3 linked regions of the Stegostoma tigrinum genome follow. The protein of the gene in region 2 binds, or shares a complex with, the protein of the main gene of each other region. Links are inferred from orthologs where the notes say so. Each region holds a gene or a part of one and is shown on either strand. Other genes may lie near its edges.

Region 1 (6,937 bases), on a different chromosome or scaffold from region 2:
CAAGAAAGAACTTAATCATTTCCCTTTGGCATGCAGTGGTATTATGATCAAATAAATTTCCATTAACATCCAGGTGGTTAACCATTGACCATATGTGAATAATCCACTTCCAGATTCTCCAAAGCCTGCTACTGTTTAAGGTAAAGTCAAGAGTGTAATGGAAGAGTCTCCACTTGGCCAAATGAACACAACTCTAGTTACATGTACAGTTCAACATGATGGAGGATAAAGCAATGCAATTCTTCCACAGTGTTAAACAGTCAACAGCCCCACCACAAGGACACAGCGGCAGCAGTGTTTATAAGTTTATTTTATGTATTGTAATAAACTCAGCAAAGCTCCTTCAACAGTACCTTTCAAAACTACAGCATTGACCAGCAAGAAAAAAGCAAGCCAACAGACGAGTGACAATATGATCTTCCGCACCTACACAGGCCCCAAACCCCACCTCTTCCTCCGGTACATTGATGACTGTATCGGCGCCGCCTCTTGCTCCCCAGAGGAGCTCGAACAGTTCATCCACTTCACCAACACCTTCCACCCCAACCTTCAGTTCACCTGGGCCATCTCCAGCACATCCCTCACCTTCCTGGACCTCTCAGTCTCCATCTCAGGCAACCAGCTTGTAACTGATGTCCATTTCAAGCCCACCGACTCCCACAGCTACCTAGAATACACCTCCTCCCACCCACCCTCCTGCAAAAACTCCATCCCCTATTCCCAATTCCTCCGCCTCCGCCGCATCTGCTCCCACGATAAGACATTCCACTCCCGCACATCCCAGATGTCCAAGTTCTTTAAGGACCGCAACTTCCCCCCCACGGTGATTGAGAACGCCCTTGACCGCGTCTCCCGCATTTCCCGCAACACATCCCTCACACCCCGCCCCCGCCACAACCGCCCCAAGAGGATCCCCCTCGTTCTCACACACCACCCTACCAACCTCCGGATACAACGCATTATCCTCCGACACTTCCGCCATTTACAATCCGACCCCACCACCCAAGACATTTTTCCATCCCCACCCCTGTCTGCTTTCCGGAGAGACCACTCTCTCCGTGACTCCCTTGTTCGCTCCACACTGCCCTCCAACCCCACCACACCCGGCACCTTCCCCTGCAACCGCAGGAAATGCTACACTTGTCCCCACACCTCCTCCCTCACCCCCATCCCAGGCCCCAAGATGACATTCCACATTAAGCAGAGGTTCACCTGCACATCTGCCAATGTGGTATACTGCATCCACTGTACCCGGTGCGGCTTTCTCTACATTGGGGAAACCAAGCGGAGGCTTGGGGACCGCTTTGCAGAACACCTCCGCTCAGTTCGCAACAAACAACTGCACCTCCCAGTCGCAAACCATTTCCACTCCCCCTCCCATTCTCTTGATGACATGTCCATCATGGGCCTCCTGCACTGCCACAATGATGCCACCCGAAGGTTGCAGGAACAGCAACTCATATTCCGCCTGGGAACCCTGCAGCCATATGGTATCAATGTGGACTTCACCAGTTTCAAAATCTCCCCTTCCCCCACTGCATCCCTAAACCAGCCCAGTTCATCCCCTCCCCCCACTGCACCACACAACCAGCCCAGCTCTTCCCCCCCACCCACTGCATCCCAAAACCAGTCCAACCTGTCTCTGCCTCCCTAACCGGTTCTTCCTCTCACCCATCCCTTCCTCCCACCCCCAGCCGCACCCCCAGCTACCTACTAACCTCATCCCACCTCCTTGACCTGTCCGTCTTCCCTGGACTGACCTATCCCCTCCCTACCTCCCCACCTACACCCTCTCCACCTATCTTCTTTGCTCTCCATCTTCGGTCCGCCTCCCCCTCTCTCCCTATTTATTCCAGTTCCCTCCCCCCATCCCCCTCTCTGATGAAGGGTCTAGGCCCGAAACGTCAGCTTTTGTGCTCCTGAGATGCTGCTTGGCCTGCTGTGTTCATCCAGCCTCACATTTTATTATCTTGGAATCTCCAGCATCTGCAGTTCCCATTATCTCTGACAATATGATCTGCAAGTTTCCCTCAGAGCTACAAGCTATTCTAACTTTCAACCCAAGTTCCTTCACTGCCACTGGTCAAAAAAAAATTCTAGAACTCCCTTCCTACCATCACCAGATGAAATATGGGGGTTCAAGAAAGCAGCTCACCCCCTCCTTCACAAGAGCAATAAATAGTGGCCTTACCTGTCATTCTCATATGCCATGAGCAAATAAAACAAACGGGACTGTGAGACTAGGCTACTTGATTCAGGTAGGAGAACCATGAGTACAGAGCCAAATTGGTTATGTGGTTTGATTGTGTGCAGTAACGGTAATCCTCAGCTTAACCAAGAAATTTCTGAACTTTTTTTACCCCATAGACGCCACTCAATAGTCCTTGAAGAAAAAAAATCTAGAAATGCTCAGCAGTCAAAAAGGAAACATCTAAACTCTGAATATCAACCTGAAAGGTTAACCCTGTTTCAATCTCCACAGAAACTGCCAGATCTGCTGAGGATTTCCAGGAATCTGTTTCTACGTTTGATTTCCAGAACCTTCAGTGCAGGGCTTTAGCATCCTTTCAAAGACCTTTGTGAAATGTTGATAAACAAGCAACTAATTTTGGTCGCTTTCCAAAATAAACAATTCTCCTCCATCTATACGCAGGGACACAGGATCATGAATTGAATGAATTTATAAGCATGAATTGATTACAAATCCATAAAGATGACAAGTTGAACGTTTCTCTCCCTCTCCTAGTACTGCTTGTTTATCCCAGTTTGGTTATTATATTTGTTTTGCGTTTGTGAACTAACTTGGCTCCTGAATGCTGAAACTCCAGAACAACAGCTAGCCGCTGGATACGAAACAAAGCAGCAATTCGCATGTGCTGAAACAAGTTAAATTACACAAATGTAACTCACAAACCACACACCAATCTAGGCCTTCCTCCCCTTGGCCGCCGCCGCTCTGCGATTCAAATGGCCAACACGGTGTCGCACAAGGCGCCCTGGGACATGTAGTCTGCAGCCACCCCACTCTTCCACTTCCAGGATCCCCAAATAGAAAACTACAAATCCCAGTATCCACTGCAAACTATCCCTCCTTTCCCCCGGAAACAGTTGTTGCGAATGCCTCTGATTGTCGCTGTTCGCTTCAGTTGCCGGTGGCTTGAGTCGCCCACTAGGATTAAGGCAGCAAATGTCTGCAACACCACAACAAAATGTTGGAAGTTACAGCGGTTCAAGCAGCTTGCAAGGACGGACAGTAACCTAATGTTTTGAGTCTAAATGATCCTTCATCAGAGCTGACGTGAACTGTGGACGGGACAACATTTCTGCAAAATAGTGGGGTGGGAGACAGGGTGTTGATAATGTTCCCTTCATAATTCACGTCAACTTTGATGAAGAGTCACCTGGACTCAAAACATTAGCTTGCTTTCACTCCATGGATACTGTCTGACCCTCTGTGCTCTGTAGCATTCTTATGTTTCCAGCATCTGCAGTAATTTGCTCCAAACTCCTGCACAAGCTCTTCTCAAATCATGAGCACACTTGCTAAGTCCAACCTGTCCCAAAAATGGGCGGGAGTGCTGAATGACCTGATTATGTGCCGTCCAATTTGTGTGATGAAAATTCAATAAAATAATATTAATAAGGGCCAATTTAGGGTGTGGACAGTTCTGTTCAGGACACATTCATCGCATCATGAAGTGTTTGGAAAACCGCACTGAGCCTACCACATTCCTGCCAGCTCCCACTCCTAACCATTCACCATATAAAAACTCTTGACTTTTTAATCTATCACCTAGATCAGTATCTATTGATATCGGATCCTTTAGTCAATTGGAACAGTTCTGTTGTGTCCAGACTCTTCACACGTATGGGCACATCTCTTGAACCACTGCACAACCATTGTCACAAAAAGAGCAACTCAGCTTCATCAATCTATTCCTGCAACAGCCCAGGTACAAGTTTTGTGAGCCTTTCATGTTCGCCACATAAAGCCTTATATTCTTAAAAATACAGTACCCAGAACAAGACACAATACTTCAGATGAGGCCAAACTCATGTTTGGTTAAGGTTCTCCTGCCTCTCTATTTATAAAGCCTAATATACCATTTGCCCTTTTAACCCCTTTCTCAACATGCCCTGGCTCTAACAACAATGTATACATTTAAGCATCTCCGTCACTGCAGCTTCTTTAGAATTTGTACGTATTATTTTACGTTTCCTCTTCCCCTTCTTCCTAACATTTTAAACTCCTCTGAATTTCATTTCATTTGCACCCATTCCACCAATGACCATGTCTCATGAACTTTATTCTCCTCATAGCTCACAATACCTAAAAGGTTTTGTGTCACCCCCTAATATTGACGTTGTGCCCTGTACATCAATATCTAGCCCATTAACATAAACTAAGAAAAAAAGGCCCCAGAATAGACATCTGAGAAAAGCCACATACACCTTCTCCCAGTCTGAAATACAATTCACCACTATACTGTTTACAGTCACTCAGCAAACCTCACATCCATGCTGCCATTCCTCCTATTATTCCATGGGCTTCAACTCTGCTGAGGAGCCTGTTATGTGGCACCTTATCAAAAACTGTGGATGGATAGATTTCAGGATGGCCATTGATAAGATGCCCTGTCAAAGGTTGTTAGGAGTGACATATTGGCATGGATAGAAGATTGGCTTGCAAGCAGGACACAGAGAGTAGCAATAAATAGATAATTTTTTTAGGCTGGCAGATGTCACGAGTGATATGCCACAGGGATCAGTGGTGGGACCTCAACTCCTTGCAATTTATAAAAGATTTGAATCAAAGGATCGAAGGGTAGCTAGATTTCCAAACAACACAAAGAAATATAGGAAAATGGACTATGAAGAGGAAATAAGGAGCAGACAAGACAAATACAGATAGATTAAGTGAACGGATAACAGCCTGGCAAATGAAACAATGTGGGAAAGTGTGAAATTTTCCATTTTGACAGAATGAATGAAAGGAAGTATAGTATCTAAATGATGAGAAGTTGCAGAGCTCTGAGAGATAGAGAAACCTGGGTAAATAAGAGCATGAATCACAGAAGTACACAAGTAGAGCAAGTGAGCAGAACGTTATGGTTTATTGCAATGGGAATGGTATGCAAGAGAGGTTATGTTTCAGTTATACAGAACAATGAGAAGACCATACCTGGAGTACTTGTACAGTACAATCACTGGGCTTGCAGAAGGATGGTAATGCTTTGGAAGCAGTTCCCAGAAGGTTTAGTGAGCTAACAATTAGAATAGCGAGTTTTGAGAAGATTTGTAGCTCAGGTTGAGTTTCTGGATGTGAGTTTGCTTGCTGAGCTGGAAGGTTAGTTTTCAGATGTTGCGTCACTTTTTTTTATTTGAAAAAATATACTTTATTCATAGAATGTACAAAAAATAAAACATTTATACACCTACCCAGTCATGCAAGCCGCTCTGGGTTACCCAGGGGGTACGTACACCAACTAAAGGAAAAGAACAAAACAAAGAAAAACAAAGAAAAGAAAATATCCCGTCAGTCGTCTCCCCGCATAGTCCCAGTTGGCCCCCTGACCAGTTGGGGAAGGCACCAGCTGGGCCCAGTTACCAGATAGGACCCTTTTTTCTATTCTGGACGAGGGGTTTCATACGGTGGTCTTTCCCCACCGTGCCTTGGCTGCGGCTGCCCCAAGCTTTAGCGCGTCCCTCAGCACGTAGTCCTGGGCCTTGGAGTGCACCAGTCTGCAGGTCGGCACAACATCGAGTCTTTGTAGAAGATCCTTTAAGATTTTCTTTGAATATTTACTTTATCTTTTAAATACAGAACAGCAATTTCTCACTTTCAAACTGAATTTGGAATAAATTCTTCAATAAGAAACTGTATTGGTTCCTACTCAAAACATCAAAAGCAGCAAATTCATGGTATGGATGACCTGCAATCTTCTCCCTCAGAAGTGTCCCCAGATCACAATGTTACCTGTTTGTAATCAATAGTCGGTTGTAAAAATACTGAGAGTTACTAAAACAACTATCTCAATAACATTAGATTTATCATGGAGTGACCCTGAAGATTAGATTCAAGGTTGCCATTTGTTTTCCAGCATTATTGTGATCTTTGTCTACTTTGCTGTTTACGAAGATGAAAATTAGAAAGGAATATTACTCAAAGATCTCCGTAAAATTCCAGTGACTGAACATTATAGGACAACATTTAACTTGCACTACAAAACATCTTTGAAAAACCATTAAGTTGCATACCACACAGCATGATCAGAAAGAACTTTTAATGGTCAGCTGTACAGTCAAAAATTGCCTTCATATGTAAAAATGTTTTGATTTTAAGATCAACCATTATCCTTCCAAAGGCAATCCATTCAATATAACTTGAAGTTCCAGTTTTTAAAGAAATGCAAATTGCAAAGGCTTAAACAATTAATTTTACTTAATTTACAGCTCACTCAAAATGCAATACATTAGTCATAAAATTTTGTTTCTCAATAGTTCAAGTAAACTTTTTTATTTGAATCAAAATATAGATTATACATAACTGAGCTGTATTTTGTTTGGAGAAGAAAAGGGTTCAGCATTGATGCTACAATGTTATTGCAAATGCAAAATGTAAATTCTTCTTTGCATTCACACAACTTTTTTAGCAAAATTCTGAATTCACCGTTTTCATGTGTCATTCTGGCTGAGACAGGCATATTCAGATTAACCAAGGATTCCAGTATTTATCAGGTATTAGTACGCACACCACTTCACATTGAGGCAGACTACTTTCTTCATCTCAGGCATCATTATAGAATTGTTCTGAACTCATCGAAGATGAAACTAGGGACATGTGCTTCCACAACCTGGCAAGAAAAGTGCAATAATGTTTATCAATTGTTTTTATAAAGTGCTGTACATAAATATCAATTGAAGAAGGACAACCTGG
Region 2 (7,986 bases):
CGTCTGCTTCTATGTTGCAAATTCTATGCAATTCTTTGGTCGATGCCACTCTCTTATCACAACCTGAACATCATTAAAACATACTCTATACAGCTGGGATCCCTCCCACTCAGTCTAGGAAACACAATCAGCGTATCAAACTCAAAACATTAATTGCACCTCCCAGTCGTAAACCATTTCCACTCCCCCTCCCATTCTCTAGATGACATGTCCATCATGGGCCTCCTGCAGTGCCACAATGATGCCACCCGAAGGTTGCAGGAACAGCAACTCATATTCTGCCTGGGAACCCTGCAGCCATATGGTATCAATGTGGACTTCACCAGTTTCAAAATCTCCCCTTCCCCAACTGCATCCCCCCACTGCACCACACAACCAGCCCAGCTCTTCCCCCCCCACCCACTGCATCCCAAAACCAGTCCAACCTGTCTCTGCCTCCCTAACCGGTTCTTCCTCTCACCCATCCCTTCCTCCCACCCCAAGCCGCACCCCCATCTACCTACTAACCTCATCCCACCTCCTTGACCTGTCCGTCTTCCCTGGACTGACCTATCCCCTCCCCACGTATACTCTCTCCACCTATCTTCTTTTCTCTCCGTCTGCGGTCCGCCTCCCCCTCTCTCCCTATTTATTCCAGTTCCCGCTCCCCATCCCCCTCTCTGATGAAGGGTCTAGGCCCGAAACGTCAGCTTTTGTGCTCCTGAGATGCTGCTTGGCCTGCTGTGTTCATCCAGCCTCACATTTTATTAATTTATTTCACTTTCTTGGCACTTTCAGCTGTGCTAAATTTCTACATCAAAAATATTCATATATTTAAATGAAATATCAATGTTTTTTCTTAAAAGCTGCTGTTAAATCATATTTGTTTCCTACAGAGATAGTAGGAACTGCCGATGCTGGAAAATCTGACATAACACGGTGTAGAGCTGGATGAACACAGCAGGCCAAGCAGCATCAGAGGAGTAGGAAAGTTGACGTTTCAGGTAAAGAAGAAGGGTCTCAACACGAATGTCAGTTTCTTTGTTTCCTACACGTTTTAATTTATATTCTAGATTTCCAGTATTCATTTTTTCTACATTGCCCATCACCTTTGTACAAAGTCTGACAGAAAGATACTCAGAACTCGGAAAGAGTTCAAAATTAGAATAAAGGAGCATTCCTCAAGATCTGTGTCCCTTCTTTATCATCCAAATTCTCTTCCCTTTATCATAGTACCTTTGGAATATAGTAATTTTCTTGTACTTCTTTCAATTTGGTGTTGTTAAGATCCTACATTGACTGCAGAAGACCAGCCAGTCATGTCCGTGCTTTCTCTCTGCAAGGGTGTTTCATCTACTGCTACTACTCATTTACCTCATTGGCCTTTAAACACTATTGATTATTGTATCCATTCCTCGAGACTGGGGAGCATAGATTGGTGATCGTTTGTGGAACACAGTAGTTTAGTCCACAACTATGACCAGTCACCATTCATTTCAATTCTCTGCCCAACTCTAAAACAAACTCTTACACTATTCTACTGAAATGCAAAAGAAATGCTAGGAAAGTTATTTATCTTTTAATTAAGCACTTTATAGCATTCCAGGTTCCACAACCAAATTCGACAATTTTAACTGATGGCACTGCTTTCAATTGATTTTGTTGGATAGCATCCCTTGGTAATAGTTCTGGTTCTGTCATTTGCACCTCCTCCAGACCTATCTTTTATTTCTTTTCTTGCTTATTATCATCTCACCTTTGTCATTTAATCACTCCAGCATATCAGACCTTCCCTTTCATTCTCTCTGCCTGTCCCCTTTCTTTACTTGTCCACCCACTTAAAACTTATTCCAATTATGAAATAAAATTCAGCCAAAAGCATATTTATGGTTCCCCTCAGATGATGACTGACTTATGCGCATCGACATTTATCACAAAGTCACAGTATTCACAGCCCTTGATATCAACACAAAAAGTGCTCTCCAGTTTGCCTAATCGAAGGTGAAGCCTGAGCCTGTCAATATCTAAGTTTTCCTTTGAATGAGTGGGATGGGTACAGAAAACAGGAGACACGATCAATCTCTCCGGGATTAATGTGACTCTGAAAGGAACCATCTGGCCACTTTTGTGGTTTTGTAATCTGATCGCGGAACCAGGTTGCGAATAGGGTCCAATGCAGTGAACGTGAACGCAACAGCAAGCTTTTGAAATTAAAAGACTCGGAGGCACTTCTTCAGACTGCGATGCAGCGAGGGAGTGCCTTTTCATGACAATTCAAACGCTCGGAGACACATTTCAGGGGAAGCGAAATAGAGGGATGAAGAAAGCTTTCAGAAGGCTCTTGTAAAACCATAAACGCTAATACGGACTAGTCTGGGCTAACGGTCTGCTTCAGTGCTGCAAATTCCTTGGGCGATGCCACTCTCATATCTCAACCAAATATCATTAATAGCACACCTTATACGGCTGAGATCCCTCCCACTCAGCCCAGGAAACAGAATCAGCCGAAGTTTATTTGTAAAATTCTACTTCCAGGGTGAGTCCCTATGCGGGCAGGGCCCGGAGGCAGTCAGGGGTTAGGAAACGACTGAACTTCTCAGACGGGACATTCGCGACCAACCCGAGAGACATCACTCAGTTAAAGGGACCTGATCCTCACCCACCAGAGCCCTGATTCTGAAAAGAACAGAAATCGGCGACTGTGGCCTGGCCTGATCGCTGAGGAAGACTCTGCTTTTGGGGTCGGATATAAAACGGGGACTCCATCGACCCGGCCCCCAGGCCGAAGGCCCAGAAGCCTCGGTCTGTCCCTCACCGCTACCGCCGCTTGACTCACAGGAAATTGTCCATCTTGATCCTGACGATCGATCCTTCCACGAACTGGTTGCCGGCCCTATCTTCCCCAGTTGCCTCCGGTGGGACGTGCCGGCCGCTCAGCCCTCTTTTTCCGCTCGTCTCCCCCTGCCCGGCCAGTTTACGCTTCAGCGCCGCCATCTTGACGGTCGCCGGGCTCTTTTCCCGCGCAAACCTCCGGGCTCACGTCATCACGCCGACGTCGCTTCACCCCGACTCGTGACGCGCGTTGGTTTGGTGGGTTGCGGTCGGGGAGAGAGGGCGCGTGACTGCGGAGTTCGAGGCCCGCCCGTCCCTCTTTGGCGGGATCGTGCAAACGTCACAAAGCAGGCGGTGCGGACGCTACAGGACAGTCGCTCAGCTGTAGCAAAGTCGCAGTTTTTGGAGCTTTGTCAAATCAACCTGTTCTGAGATGTTATATAGATGGAATTTGAACGTAGGCTACCTGGTTCAAGGGTAGGGATATTGCCACAAGCCCCCTCCCTGCAATCGTAGTTTTGGCTACTGATGGCGCCAATAGACGGAAACAGGTGTCAAGTAGTTGGCAATACACATAATATAGTTGTGGGGTGGCCAGGGATGAGAACTGAATGTACAGGGGTATTCAGTATTTAGGAAGGACAGACAAAGAGGAAAAGGAGTAGGGTTAAACAGGACGTTAACGCAATAGTGAAGGAGGATACTTACACCTGTCACAAAAACAAAGTTGCTGGAGAAGCTCAGTAGATCTGGCAGCATCTGTGCAGGGAAAAAAAATAGTGTTTCGAGTCCGGTGACCCATTCTCAGTTGTCAATTTTTTTTCCTTCTGTTAACTTTTTTTTCTTTTACAGATGCTGCCAGACCTGCTGAGCTTTTCCAGCGACTTTGTTCCTGATTTACAGCATCTGCAATTCTTTTGGTTTTTACTTACACCTGTCAAGTAGAATCTGTGTGGTTACAACTTAGAAACACCAAGGGTAAGCAAGATAGTGTTGTAAATAGACTCACTTCCCTAACTGGAATGCTAACATTGGGGAAGGCACTTTACAAGAAATTAGTGACCCAGGCAGTAAAGGAACAGACATAATTATGGGTGACTTTAATCTGCATATTGATACAGTAAATCAAGTGGGTAATAATGCTGTAGAAGAGGAATTCTTGGGAGTGTGAGATTTCTGGATCAATGCTTTGAGGAACTACTTAAAGAACAGGCTATCCTAGACTGTCTGCTTCGTAATGAGAGAAATAATTTGAAGTCGAGCTGTACAAGGTCCCCTTAAAAAGGGGTGACCACGATATGATAGAATTATTTGTTTAGATGGAAATGACATAGTTGACCCTGAGACTAGGATTCTGAATCTAAAGAAAGGAAATTGTGGTAGTGTGAGGTAAGAGCTGTCTGTGATAAACTGGGGAAAGTTACTCAAAGGATGACAGTAAATGGCAAACTTTTAAAGAGTGCCAAGACAGGAAGAACTGCAACAATTGTTCATCTGTGAGGGGCACAAAAACAAAACAGGAAAGGTGGCCTGATCGTGGCTAACAAATGAGGGATAGTATTAGATCCAAGAAAGGGGCATACAAATTAGCCCAAAAAAAGTGGCAGATCTGAGGAACAGTTTAGATTTCAACAAAGCAGGACATAGTGATTTATTAACAAGGGGAAAATGCAGTAAGTTTGTGGAGAATATACAAATTGATCAGAAAAACCTTTATAGCATTATGAAGTGAAAGAGATTAGTGATTATATATGTGAATTCCTTAGAGTCAGGAACAGTGGGGGATGTTATAATGGGGAACGAAGATGGCAGATGAATTAAGTGTATATTTTTTGTATTATCTTCACAAAAGAAGATACAAATAATGATCCAAAAATGCTGGGGAATACAGAGTTTAGTGAGAGGGAGGAACTCAAGTAGTTGTAGGGAAATAGTTTTGCAGCAATTGATGTGATTCAAGACCAATCAGTCCCAAGTACTGATAATCTATGTCCCAGAGTATTGAAGAAGTGGTCCTAGAAATAGTGGATACACTGATGGCCATTTTTTTAAATCCAAAAGCTCTGGAACAGTTTCTATAGATTGGGAGGTAACTAATGTAATGTCACTATTTTTTAAAAAATGATGCAGAGAAAAGTGGAAATTAGAGACTGGTTAGTCTCACATTGGTACTGGGAACAAACAAAGAACAATACAGCACATGGAGAGGCCCTTCAGCCCTCGAAGCCTGTGCTGACACATCTTGTCCTTCCATACTAAAACTGTCTTCAATTACAAGATCTGTATCCCTCTATTCCCTTCATATTCATCTATTTGTCCAGGTGCTTCTTGAACGCTGCTATTGTGTCTGCTTCCACCACCTCTGGCAATGTATTCCGGACACTCACCGCCCCCTGTGTGAAAAACATGCATCATACATCTGTTTTAAACTTCATCCTCTCTCCACCCCCACCCCAGCACCCTGAACCGGTGGCCCCAAGTAATTGATCTCTCCACCCTTGTGCTTTCCAGTCTATCCAGGCCATTCACAATCTACTAAACATCTATTAGGCCACCCCTCAACCTCCTACGTTCTAGTGAAAACAGACCCAGTCTAGCCACCCATCCTTCTGGTAGTATGCTGACCAGAACTATATGCAGTATTCCAAGTGTCGCCTAACTAAACTTCTGTAGAGCTGCAGCATCTATCCTCACGGGTAATACCCCTTTCAATGAAGGTTCATATGCTGTAGGCCTTTTTTACTACCTCATCGAACTGCGCTGCCACCTTCAGTGATCGGTAGACCTGCACATCTAGATCCCTCTGCATATCAATATTCCTAAGGGTTCTGCCATTCAGTGCATAATTTCCACCTGTACTTGACCTTCCAAAATGCATCACCTCATGTGTCCACGTTAAACTCCATTTGCCATTTTTGTGCCCATGCCTTGTATCCTCTGACAATTCTCATTATTCGCAACTCTACCAATCTTTGTATTTCCACAGCTTACTAATTAGACCAGCTACATTTTCTTCAAAATCATTTACGTAGACCATGAACAGCAGAGGTCCCAGCACTGATCCCTATGGAACCCCACATCTCTCAGCCCTCCATTCCGAAAAGCATCCTTCCACCACTACCTTCTGTCTCCTGTAACTAAGGCAGTTCTGTATCCAACTTGCCAGCTCACCTTTGATTCCATATGACTTCACCTTTTGTACCAGTCTACCATGAGGGATCTTGACAAAGGCTTCACTGAAGTCCACATGGACAACATCAATTGCTTTTCCCTCATCAAAGTCTTCATCATTTCTTCATAAAACTCCATGACCTCCCCTGGACAAAACCATGCTGTCTATCACTATTAAGTCCATTTTCGTCTAAATGCGAATAGATTTTGTACCTGAGTTTCCTTACTATCAATGTGAGGTTCACAGGCCTGTAATTTCCTGGATCAACCCTGCTACCCTTCTTAAACAATGGGACAATATTCCCCAGTATCCTCTGGGGCCGTACCTGTGGCCAAAGAGGATACAAAGGTGTCTGTCAAAGCTCCAGCAATTTGTTCTCTTACCTCCCTTAATATTCTGGGAAAGATACCATCAGGATTCAAAGACCTATCTACTTTAATACTTTTTAAGATGCACAACACCTGTTCCTTTTTATTAGCAACTTGGCTTAGCAATTCCACACTCCCTTCCCTGACATCATTCTCCACCAATTCCTTCTCTGGCTGTAGATGTAGATTTCTTCCTTTGTCCTTGAGTGAGCTAACCCTTTCCCTGGCTACCCTCTCACTTTGTGTGTGTGTGTGTGTGTGTGTGTGTGTGTGTGTGTATATAAAAGCCTTGGGATTCTCCTTAATCCTGTTTGTTAATGACTTCTCATGACCCCTTTAAGCCCTTCTAATCGTTTTTTAAGTTCTTTCCTATTTTCCTTGCATACTTAAAGGGCTTCATGAGTTCCTATCCTCCTAGACCTTACATATGCTTCCTTTTTCTTTTCAACCAAGGTCATAACTTCTCTCATCATCCAAAGTTCACATTACTTGCCATACTTACCTTTCATTCTCGCAAGAATGAGCCATTTGAAAGAGTCCCACATGTCCGATGTGGATTTACCCTCTAACAGCCACCTCCAAGAGAAAGTTTCCAGTTCCTACCTAATATTGTTGTATAGTCTTACCTCAGTTTAGAACTTCACCAACAACTGCTGTACTCCCCCACTAAATGTTCAGTCACCTGACCAGGCTCGTTTCCCAAAACCAGGTCCAGAAAACTCCTTCAGAGATAGTAAGAACTGCCAGTGCTGGAGTCAGAGATAACACAGTGTGGACCTGGAGGAACGCAGCAGGCCAGGCAGTATCAGAGGAGCAGGAAAGCTGATGTTTCAGGTCAGGATCCTTCTTCAGACAACTCCTTCCCTGGTTGGACAGTTTACATACTATGTCAAGAAACCCTCCTGAAGGGTCTTTACAAATTCTGTCTGTCCAAGCCATTAGCACCAAGTGAGTCCCAGTCCATATACAGGAAGCTAAAATTGCCCACCGCAACAAGGCTGCTGTTTCCTGTTTCTGGGAAAATGCTAGAAGGCATTATGAGAAATTTATGGAAGAGTACTTGGGGAAAAAAATAATGACAGGATTTGACAGAGTCACTGTAGATTTACTGAAGGGAAATCATTCTTGACAAAACTACTGAAATTTTCCACAGATGCAACTGGTAGATTTGATAAGTGGTACTGGTGGATGTGGTTTACTTGGAATTTCAGAAAGCTATTGATATCCTCTTATGTCAGAGATTAACATGTAAAATAAACGTGCAAAGGGTTGAGGGTAGTGCCGTTACCTCAGTGTCACTAGGTCAAAATCCTGGAACTCTCTTTCTAATAGCACAATGGATGTTCCTATGCTGCATGGACTGCACTAGTTGAAGAAAGCAACTCAAACCACCTTCTCTAGGACAATTAGGGGTGGATAATAAATATCAACTTGCTGTGAAGCCACATTCTATGAACAAATTAAGAAAATATAAGAAAAATCATGACTGAAAAGTATCAGAAAAGTGATATCTATGTTTTGTGTTACTTGCAAGGCCAATACAATTAAAGTAGAAAATGGAAAACCTGTTGGCAACTGTTGTTTCTTTCCTGGTATTTGACTCATAATCTGCATTATGAAGGAAATGTTTACAAG
Region 3 (7,394 bases), on a different chromosome or scaffold from region 2:
AGGGAGGAGATTGCCGAGCCTTTGGCATTGATCTTTAACTCGTCATTGTCTACAGGAATAGTGCCAGACGACTGGAGGATAGCAAATGTGGTTCCCCTGTTCAAGAAGGGGAGTAAAGACAACCCTGGTAATTATAGACCAGTGAGCCTTACCTCAGTTGTTGGTAAAGTGTTGGAAAAGGTTATAAGGGATAGGATTTATAATAATCTAGAAAAGAATAAATTGATTAGGGATAGTCAGCACGGTTTTGTGAAGGGAAGGTCGTGCCTCACAAACTTTATTGAGTTCTTTGAGAAGGTGACCAAACAGGTAGATGAGAGTAAACCGGTTGATGTGGTGTATATGGATTTCAGCAAGGCGTTCGATAAGGTTCCCCACAGTAGGCTATTGTACAAAATGCGGAGGAATGGAATTTTGGGAGATACAGCAATTTGGATTGGAAATTGGCTTGCTAAAAGAAGACAGAGGGTGGTGGTTGATGGGAAATGTTCATCCTGGAGACCAGTTACTAGTGGTGTACTGCAAGGGTTGGTGTAGGGTCCACTGCCGTTTGTCATTTTATAAATGACCTGGATGAGGGCGTAGAAGGATGGGTTAGTAAATTTGCAGACGACACTAAGGTTGGTGGAGTTGTGGATAGTGACGAAGGATGCTGTAGGTTGCAGAGAGACATAGATAAGCTGCAGAGCTGGGCTGAGAGGTGGCAAATGGAGCTTAATGCAGACAAGTGTGAGGTGATGCACTTTGGTAGGAGTAACCAGAAGGCAAAGTACAGGGCTAATGGTAAGATTCTTAGTAGTGTAGATGAGCAGAGAGATCTCGGTGTCCATGTACACAGATCCTTGAAAGTTGCCACCCAGGTTGACAAGGCTGTTAAGAAGGCATACAGTGTTTTAGCTTTTATTAATAGAGGGATCGAGTTCCAGAACCAAGGGGTTATCATTAAGCTGTACAAAACTCTGGTGCGGCCACACTTGGAGTATTGTATACAGTTCTGGTCACCGCATTATAAGAAGGATGTGGAAGCTTTGGAAAGGGTGCAAAGGAGATTTACTAGGATGTTGCCTGGTATGGAGGGAAGATCTTACGAAATAAGTCTGAGGGACGTGAGGCTGTTTTCGTTGGAGAGAAGAAGGTTGAGGGGTGACTTAATAGAAACATATAAAATAATCAGAGGGTTAGATAGGGTGGATAGGGAGAGCCTTTTTCCTAGGATGGTGACGGAGAGCACGAGGGGGCATAGCTTTAAATTGAGGGGTGAAAGATATAGGACAGATGTCAGAGATGGTTTCTTCACTCAGAGTAGTGAGGCAACGAAACGCTTTGCCTGTAACGGTAGTAGATTCGCCAACTTTAGGTACATTTAAGTCGTCATTGGATAAGCATATGGACGTACATGGAATAGTGTAGTTTAGATGAGCTTGAGATCGGTATGACAGGTCAGCACAACGAGGGCCAAAGGGCCTGTACTGTACTGTAATGTTCTATGTAAACAGGACAATTCCAGATTCTACTAACATTAGATGAAGTCCTGGAAAGAAATTGTTCACACCACCTTTATTTCACACAAACCAAATTGGTACACACTAGAGATAATGGGAACTGCAGATGCCAGAGAATCCAAGATAACAAAGTGTGCAGCTGGATGAACACAGCAGGCCAAGCAGCATCTCAGGAGCACAAAAGCTGACGTTTTGGGCCTTGACCCTTCATCAGAGGGGGGGGATGGGGAGAGGGTTCTGAAATAAATAGGGAGAGAGGGGGAGGTGGACCGAAGATGGATAGAGAAGATAGGTAGAGAGGAGAGTATAGGTGGGGAGGTGATAGGTCAGTCTACGGAGGACGGACATTTCAAGGCGGTGGGATGAGGTTGGCAGGTGGGAGAAGGAGATAGGAGAGGGGAAGAACAGGTTAGGGAGGCAGGAACGAGCTGGGCTGGTTTTGTGATGCAGTGGGGGGAGGGGACGAGCTGGGCTGGACTTCACAAGCTTCAAAATCTCCCCCTCCCCCACTGCATCCCAAAACCAGCCTCCCTAACCTGTTCTTCCTCTCACCTACCAACCTCATTCCGCTTCCTTGGACTAACCTATCCCCTTTCCATCTATCTTCTCCTCTATCCATCTTCAGTCTGCCTCCCCCTCTCTCCCTATTTATTCCAGAACCCTCTCCCCATCCCCTTCTCTGATGAAGGGTCTAGGCCCAAAACGTCAGCTTTTGTGCTCCGGAGATGTTGCATGGCCTGCTGTGTTCATCCAGCTCCACACTAGGACAGCCGGTAAGCAACTGAACTGGTAAAGTGGAGCAATCTGACTGGCTTTCAGAATCACATTCTGCGACGACACGTTTTCTCATGAAAGCCACAAAGCAGCAACTTCGGATATTTTGAAATATCAACTTGTTCAGGCATTTTATTCCACACCTCTGGAGATGAGAACTAAACTTAAATCTCCCGCTCGAAAGTAGTCTTATTGTTCAAGTCTAACCGAGTGGAAGTTATTGATAAACCATATTTATAAAGGGCAAGCCTGCTCAAAAAAAAGGGAAAGCCTGTTCACAAATAATATAGACGCAGGTTACTCGGTATCAAACTGGCCCGTGGTATTGATACAAGACAAGAGATTCTATTGTTATTTAATTTTACGTTTCCTATTGGAGTTCACAAGGGGAGAACGGAAGACCCAGAGTGTCCTGATGAGAGCGAGAAGAGGTTACAATCTGAACTGGGTGTCCCCGTGCCTGCTCACTCACGCTGGACGCTGTTGATAAGTTCCCGGTACTGGTGCCTCAGCATCCTCCGGCGATTCGGGTCATCATCCCGGGCCCCATACGGGATGGCGCCATCGACCAGCTCCTCGTCCTCGGTCACGGTGCAGTCCGAGACGGCTGAGTTTCTCCTGCCGCGCTGCGGAGCTCCCGCTCCGGCCATGGTGCCGTTGGAGGTGCCCGCAGCGGAGCGCTGCGATCCCCCGGGGGGATAAGGGGATCGGCCTCGACCTTTGCCCTCCGACATTGTTTCTCCACCCCGCCAGTACAAAGCCAAACCAGCGCCTTTCCAGCACGTCACCTCCACATGCGCCGGAAGTCAAAGCCACCGACTCTTAATTTGTAGTTGAACATGTTTCCCAGGTTTGCGTCATCAGTGAAGGACGAAAGGTGTTATTGCTTCAGATTTTAATTTTTATTAAATAAAAGTTCTGTATAGGGCCTCCTTGACCTGTTCGTCTCCTCTCAGCCTATCTTGTCCTTGATCCACCTTCTATCCGCCTCCCCCTCTCTCCCTATTTATTTCAGAATCCCCCCTCCCCCCGGGTTTCTGAAGAAGGGTCCTGACCCGAAATGTCAGCCTTTCTGCTTGGCCTGTTGTGTTCATCCAGCTTGTTATCTCATCCTACATAAAAGCATTACCCTATATAGAAGTGAGGGAAAAGAACCAAAACAAATTACTGGAGAAACTCAGCAGAATCTATTGGTGTGAGGCTGGAAAAGCACAGGAGGTCAGTCAGCATCAGAGGAGCAAAAAAGTCAACCTTTTGGGCTGAAACCCTTCAATAGTACTAGGTACACTAACGTTGATGTATCCTACTTTGATACTGTCTGACCTGCTGTGCTTTTCCAGTCTCACACCGACAGGTGCAGGCTTCTATTATCTACAGTCTTTATTTCTCTGGAGAAACTTTACAGGTCTGATAGCATCAGTGGAAAGAAAGCAAAGTTAACGTTTGAAGTCTAATGACCCTTCTTCAGAACCGATAGCTTGGAAAAGGTGGCATTTAAGCTCATCACAGGGTGGGGCACAAAGGAGTGAGCAATTAGATCAAGATAACAAAGTGTGGAGCTGGATGAACACAGCAGACCAAGCAGCATCTTAGGGGCACAAGAGTTGAAGTCAGGTTCCAGTCAGTCCTGTAGATCTGGTGCAAACAGTTTTGAAAGTCACAGTAAATCACTCGGGAAGCTGCACAGATTTCAGCCAAGGTTACAATCAGTTGTCAGAAGGGCTGACCATCCAGGTCTGTCAAGGGGTGGGGCACAAAGAGTGACAGTCCTAGAGCCCGTCCATTAAAAGGCAAAGAAGGCTTTACCAGGAGCTGGTGGTGAAACTGGGGAACTCAATTGTGATATTTTCAGGCAGAATGATGGGATGTGCAATGGAGCAGGAAATTCAATATAAAGGGGAGAGATGCTAGAGGTTAGGAGGGAATGAGATAATCAACAATCAGCATGACAAGTAGAGGGGAGGTGATGATCTAATTGCATTACCACTAGACTACTATTCCAGAGACCCAGATAATGTCTTGAGTACCTGGAATTCTAGCCATCATGGTAGAACTTGAATTTAACTAAAATATAATGTTGACAATGAAACTGTTGCCAACTGTTGGAAAAACCCATCTGGTTCACTATGCCTTTGAGGGAATGAAATCTGCCATCCTTACCTGGTCTGGCCTACATGTGACTCTAGACCCACAACAATGTGGTTGACTCTTAACTGCCCTCTGGGCAATTAGCCATGGGCAATAAATACTGGTCTGGCTAGTGACTTCCACATCCCATGAATGAATTTTAAAAAAACACCAATCTGGCTTTAATGGGGAGACAGTTCATTGCTATGTCTGGCATGATGGATGCAGTATGCTTAGGGTTCAGACAGTAATATGGGGAGAAATTGACAGTTTGGTTTAAAGAAGCAGTTTAGTATCCCTGGAGCTAGATTTACTCTCTTTTTTGAGTCACTTGTTTTAATAGAGTTTTAAAATAAAAATTAGCAACCTGCAATTCATCATGCCACAAATTCCTGTCCAGTTTCCCTTTCATGAGTACACTCATACCTCGAGCAGTGCTGAATGTTTACAAAAGAAAGTCATCTATGCGTTGAAATAAAATCCAGGATTAGAGCCTGTTCATTTTAACCTGATGACACATGATACCAGACAAGGCTAGCCTCACTTTAAACTACATCATAACAATATTGCCCAATACGATCTTGGTGCATAAGATTCTTGTGCAGCCACAGTTAGCTTCAGCTACAGTGGCCTGACATTAAACAATGATTGAAGACTTATAGAGGAGATACATGCTGCGCTCAACTGCACAAATGATGTGAAAATAAAGGTAAATAGTTCGTGAAGATATCAGAATACTAAGGTTTGAAGTTGAACTGATCTGTACATTACTCTGTTAGTTTAGTTTGGCATTTAGTATGGAGCTGCTTTTGGCTGAGAGCAAGTGCACTGTTGACTAAGCAGTCTCCAACTTAACTGTTTCTACTGTTATTAGTTACATATGTCATGAGAATCCAGTTTAGTTTGTATTTTAATCCATTTTTGTTTGTTCTGACTGTTCAAGTCTTTAACATTTGTGTATTAGATGTCTAATGCTGTGACATAATTTTTGAGCATGGCAATGAAAACTAGTTAATAGGCCATGACTGAAACATTTTTAAAGTTAAAAGCTGTGGGTAAGTGAAGGGTAGATCTTTTTCATACAAAGTTTAATTTAGAGCTTCTTCTTTTGGGCCTTATTGTATAGAATATAGGCTTGAAATCCTTCCAACATAGAGCGACAGCAGCAATCAGTCTATAAATACTGGAGTTGAGAAAAGTATGGGTCTTTTTCAGCAAAAATATGAAGGCAAATTTTTAAGGGCCAATTATGCCCGTCAATGGAATGCTATGTTCCTCCTGTTGAATGTAGGAGACGAGCAAACAGTTGACCATCTATGGAGACTATGTTTTCGGGAGGCGTGCTTGGATCTGTCTTCTACCAGACCATTTGGAATGGCTGGAAAGGCTGTTTGAGTCACTGAGGAGCATGCAAGAGACACAGGGTGTGATGGTCAGTAGATTTAGAGAGGTGGTCACACAGCAGGTTCAGTCAGATAGATGTGTGACTGTCAAGAGAGGTTGGAGGGTACTGCAGGAGTCTCCTGTGGCTGTTAGTGCTGGGATGCTGGAGTCTGCTTAATAATAGATATACTGGATACTACAAGACATAACAGGCCATTCTAAAAATTACTCATACATATTCAAATGTTTGCTTTTTCGAGTTAACTTTCTTCCTTCAATATGATACCTGGTATCAATCCGTTTTGAAGGACTTCATGATTTTTTTTATTATACTTGACTGCAAACTTAACATTGAAAGATCAGTTACCATTAAAATAAAAAAGCCAGACTGATAAGTTAAAATATTAACCGATAACAGTTTAGTTAATTGAGAGTGAACTTATGTTCACTTCGTGATATCACAGAAGAATCTGTACAGCAGTTGTTGAATATGTTGCACACAAAAACAATCACATAACCAGCGTAGCAGAGATGTGAAAAAGTAACATGTATCCTTAGGAGGGACACAAATATCATTTAGTATTTCAGTATTCTATGTATTAATGTTCAAATTCCAGTTTCATGTTAATATATTTTTTAATCAAGTTACAGTTTAAAAGTAAATCTTTATTCTAGTTATATTGATGGTTTTCTGTGAAGTAAACGGTTTTGAAATAGTTGTTCTGGTAGGAATTATAACAGAAATATGCATAGAGAGTCAAAACTAAATGACTGATTATAGATGTCATTTGTCACGTTATACAAGTGTGCTTTCTCTGAGTCACTAACACAGTAGAAAGTTCAATAGTCACTGTCATTGTCTTAACTGGATTTCCATTCTGATAAATACAGCAGTATTGCTTGCTGAACACGTTTTGAGTTGCTGGTGTTTCATAAAATGTTTATCTTGTTTCATTGTTTTTCCCAAAATAAGTTAATCTAATGCCTGTGAGCACGCTGCATTTTGTGCAGCATAAAATGTTGTTCCCTATGAAATGTGGTATTTGTGCAATTCTGTCTGGATAAATGCATGACAAGTTCCTTTTTAAGCAGCTCTTAAGTTCTGCACAATTAAGCAACTATTATTTTCCTGGATCTACTGGCTACTTAGATTTTATTTCAAAAACATTCCTTACAATACAAGTTACAGAATGCATGGATATGTCAGTGTGGAAGGAAAACTCAAAATCAGAAAAACAAACAGAGGTAAATCTGCTTGATAATTTACCCTTCCAAAAGGAATTTTAGGCGTTTAAGTCATCACCCAATTTTACAAGGCATTGATACCTTAGGGATGATTTACAGTAAAATGACTCTGGACTTAAGGCTTTGAGTTACAAAAGGAGATTTTATTGAAAATTTTAATGGAGAAAAATTAGATTGAGAGGACAAGATCAGACCTTGGGAGGTGTAAGTAACAATGACATAAACCATATGTAATGACAATGAGGTGTTATAAAGTGGAAGTGACTCCACCCCCACCTCAAGGACTGAAAGCAAAACACCCAAAGAGGAGCACCTCGCCCTATAATCTGTAAAAAGATTGTGAAAAGTGGTCTAACCTGCCTT

The links.
Region 1: smc5 (region 2) and nsmce2 share a complex: the UniProt entries of both Homo sapiens proteins name them as parts of the SMC5-SMC6 complex. The link is inferred for Stegostoma tigrinum from reciprocal best matches to the Homo sapiens genes SMC5 and NSMCE2.
Region 3: smc5 (region 2) and nsmce4a share a complex: the UniProt entries of both Homo sapiens proteins name them as parts of the SMC5-SMC6 complex. The link is inferred for Stegostoma tigrinum from reciprocal best matches to the Homo sapiens genes SMC5 and NSMCE4A.

Annotation. Positions count from the first base shown.
Region 1 is NC_081358.1:47,631,935-47,638,871, reverse strand, and holds the start of nsmce2 (E3 SUMO-protein ligase NSE2), read right to left. Parts: upstream 3,033-6,937; 5' UTR 2,922-3,032; intron 1-2,921. Other genes in the region: washc5 (WASH complex subunit 5), read right to left, coding at 6,798-6,854. UniProt on the Homo sapiens protein: E3 SUMO-protein ligase component of the SMC5-SMC6 complex, a complex involved in DNA double-strand break repair by homologous recombination. Is not be required for the stability of the complex.
Region 2 is NC_081356.1:28,652,901-28,660,886, reverse strand, and holds the start of smc5 (structural maintenance of chromosomes protein 5), read right to left. Parts: upstream 3,035-7,986; 5' UTR 2,974-3,034; coding exon 2,816-2,973; intron 2,482-2,815; exon of another isoform or gene 2,437-2,481; intron 1-2,436. UniProt on the Homo sapiens protein: Core component of the SMC5-SMC6 complex, a complex involved in repair of DNA double-strand breaks by homologous recombination.
Region 3 is NC_081373.1:27,619,417-27,626,810, forward strand, and holds the start of nsmce4a (non-structural maintenance of chromosomes element 4 homolog A), read right to left. Parts: upstream 3,065-7,394; 5' UTR 3,011-3,064; coding exon 2,749-3,010; intron 1-2,748. UniProt on the Homo sapiens protein: Component of the SMC5-SMC6 complex, a complex involved in DNA double-strand breaks by homologous recombination. The complex may promote sister chromatid homologous recombination by recruiting the SMC1-SMC3 cohesin complex to double-strand breaks.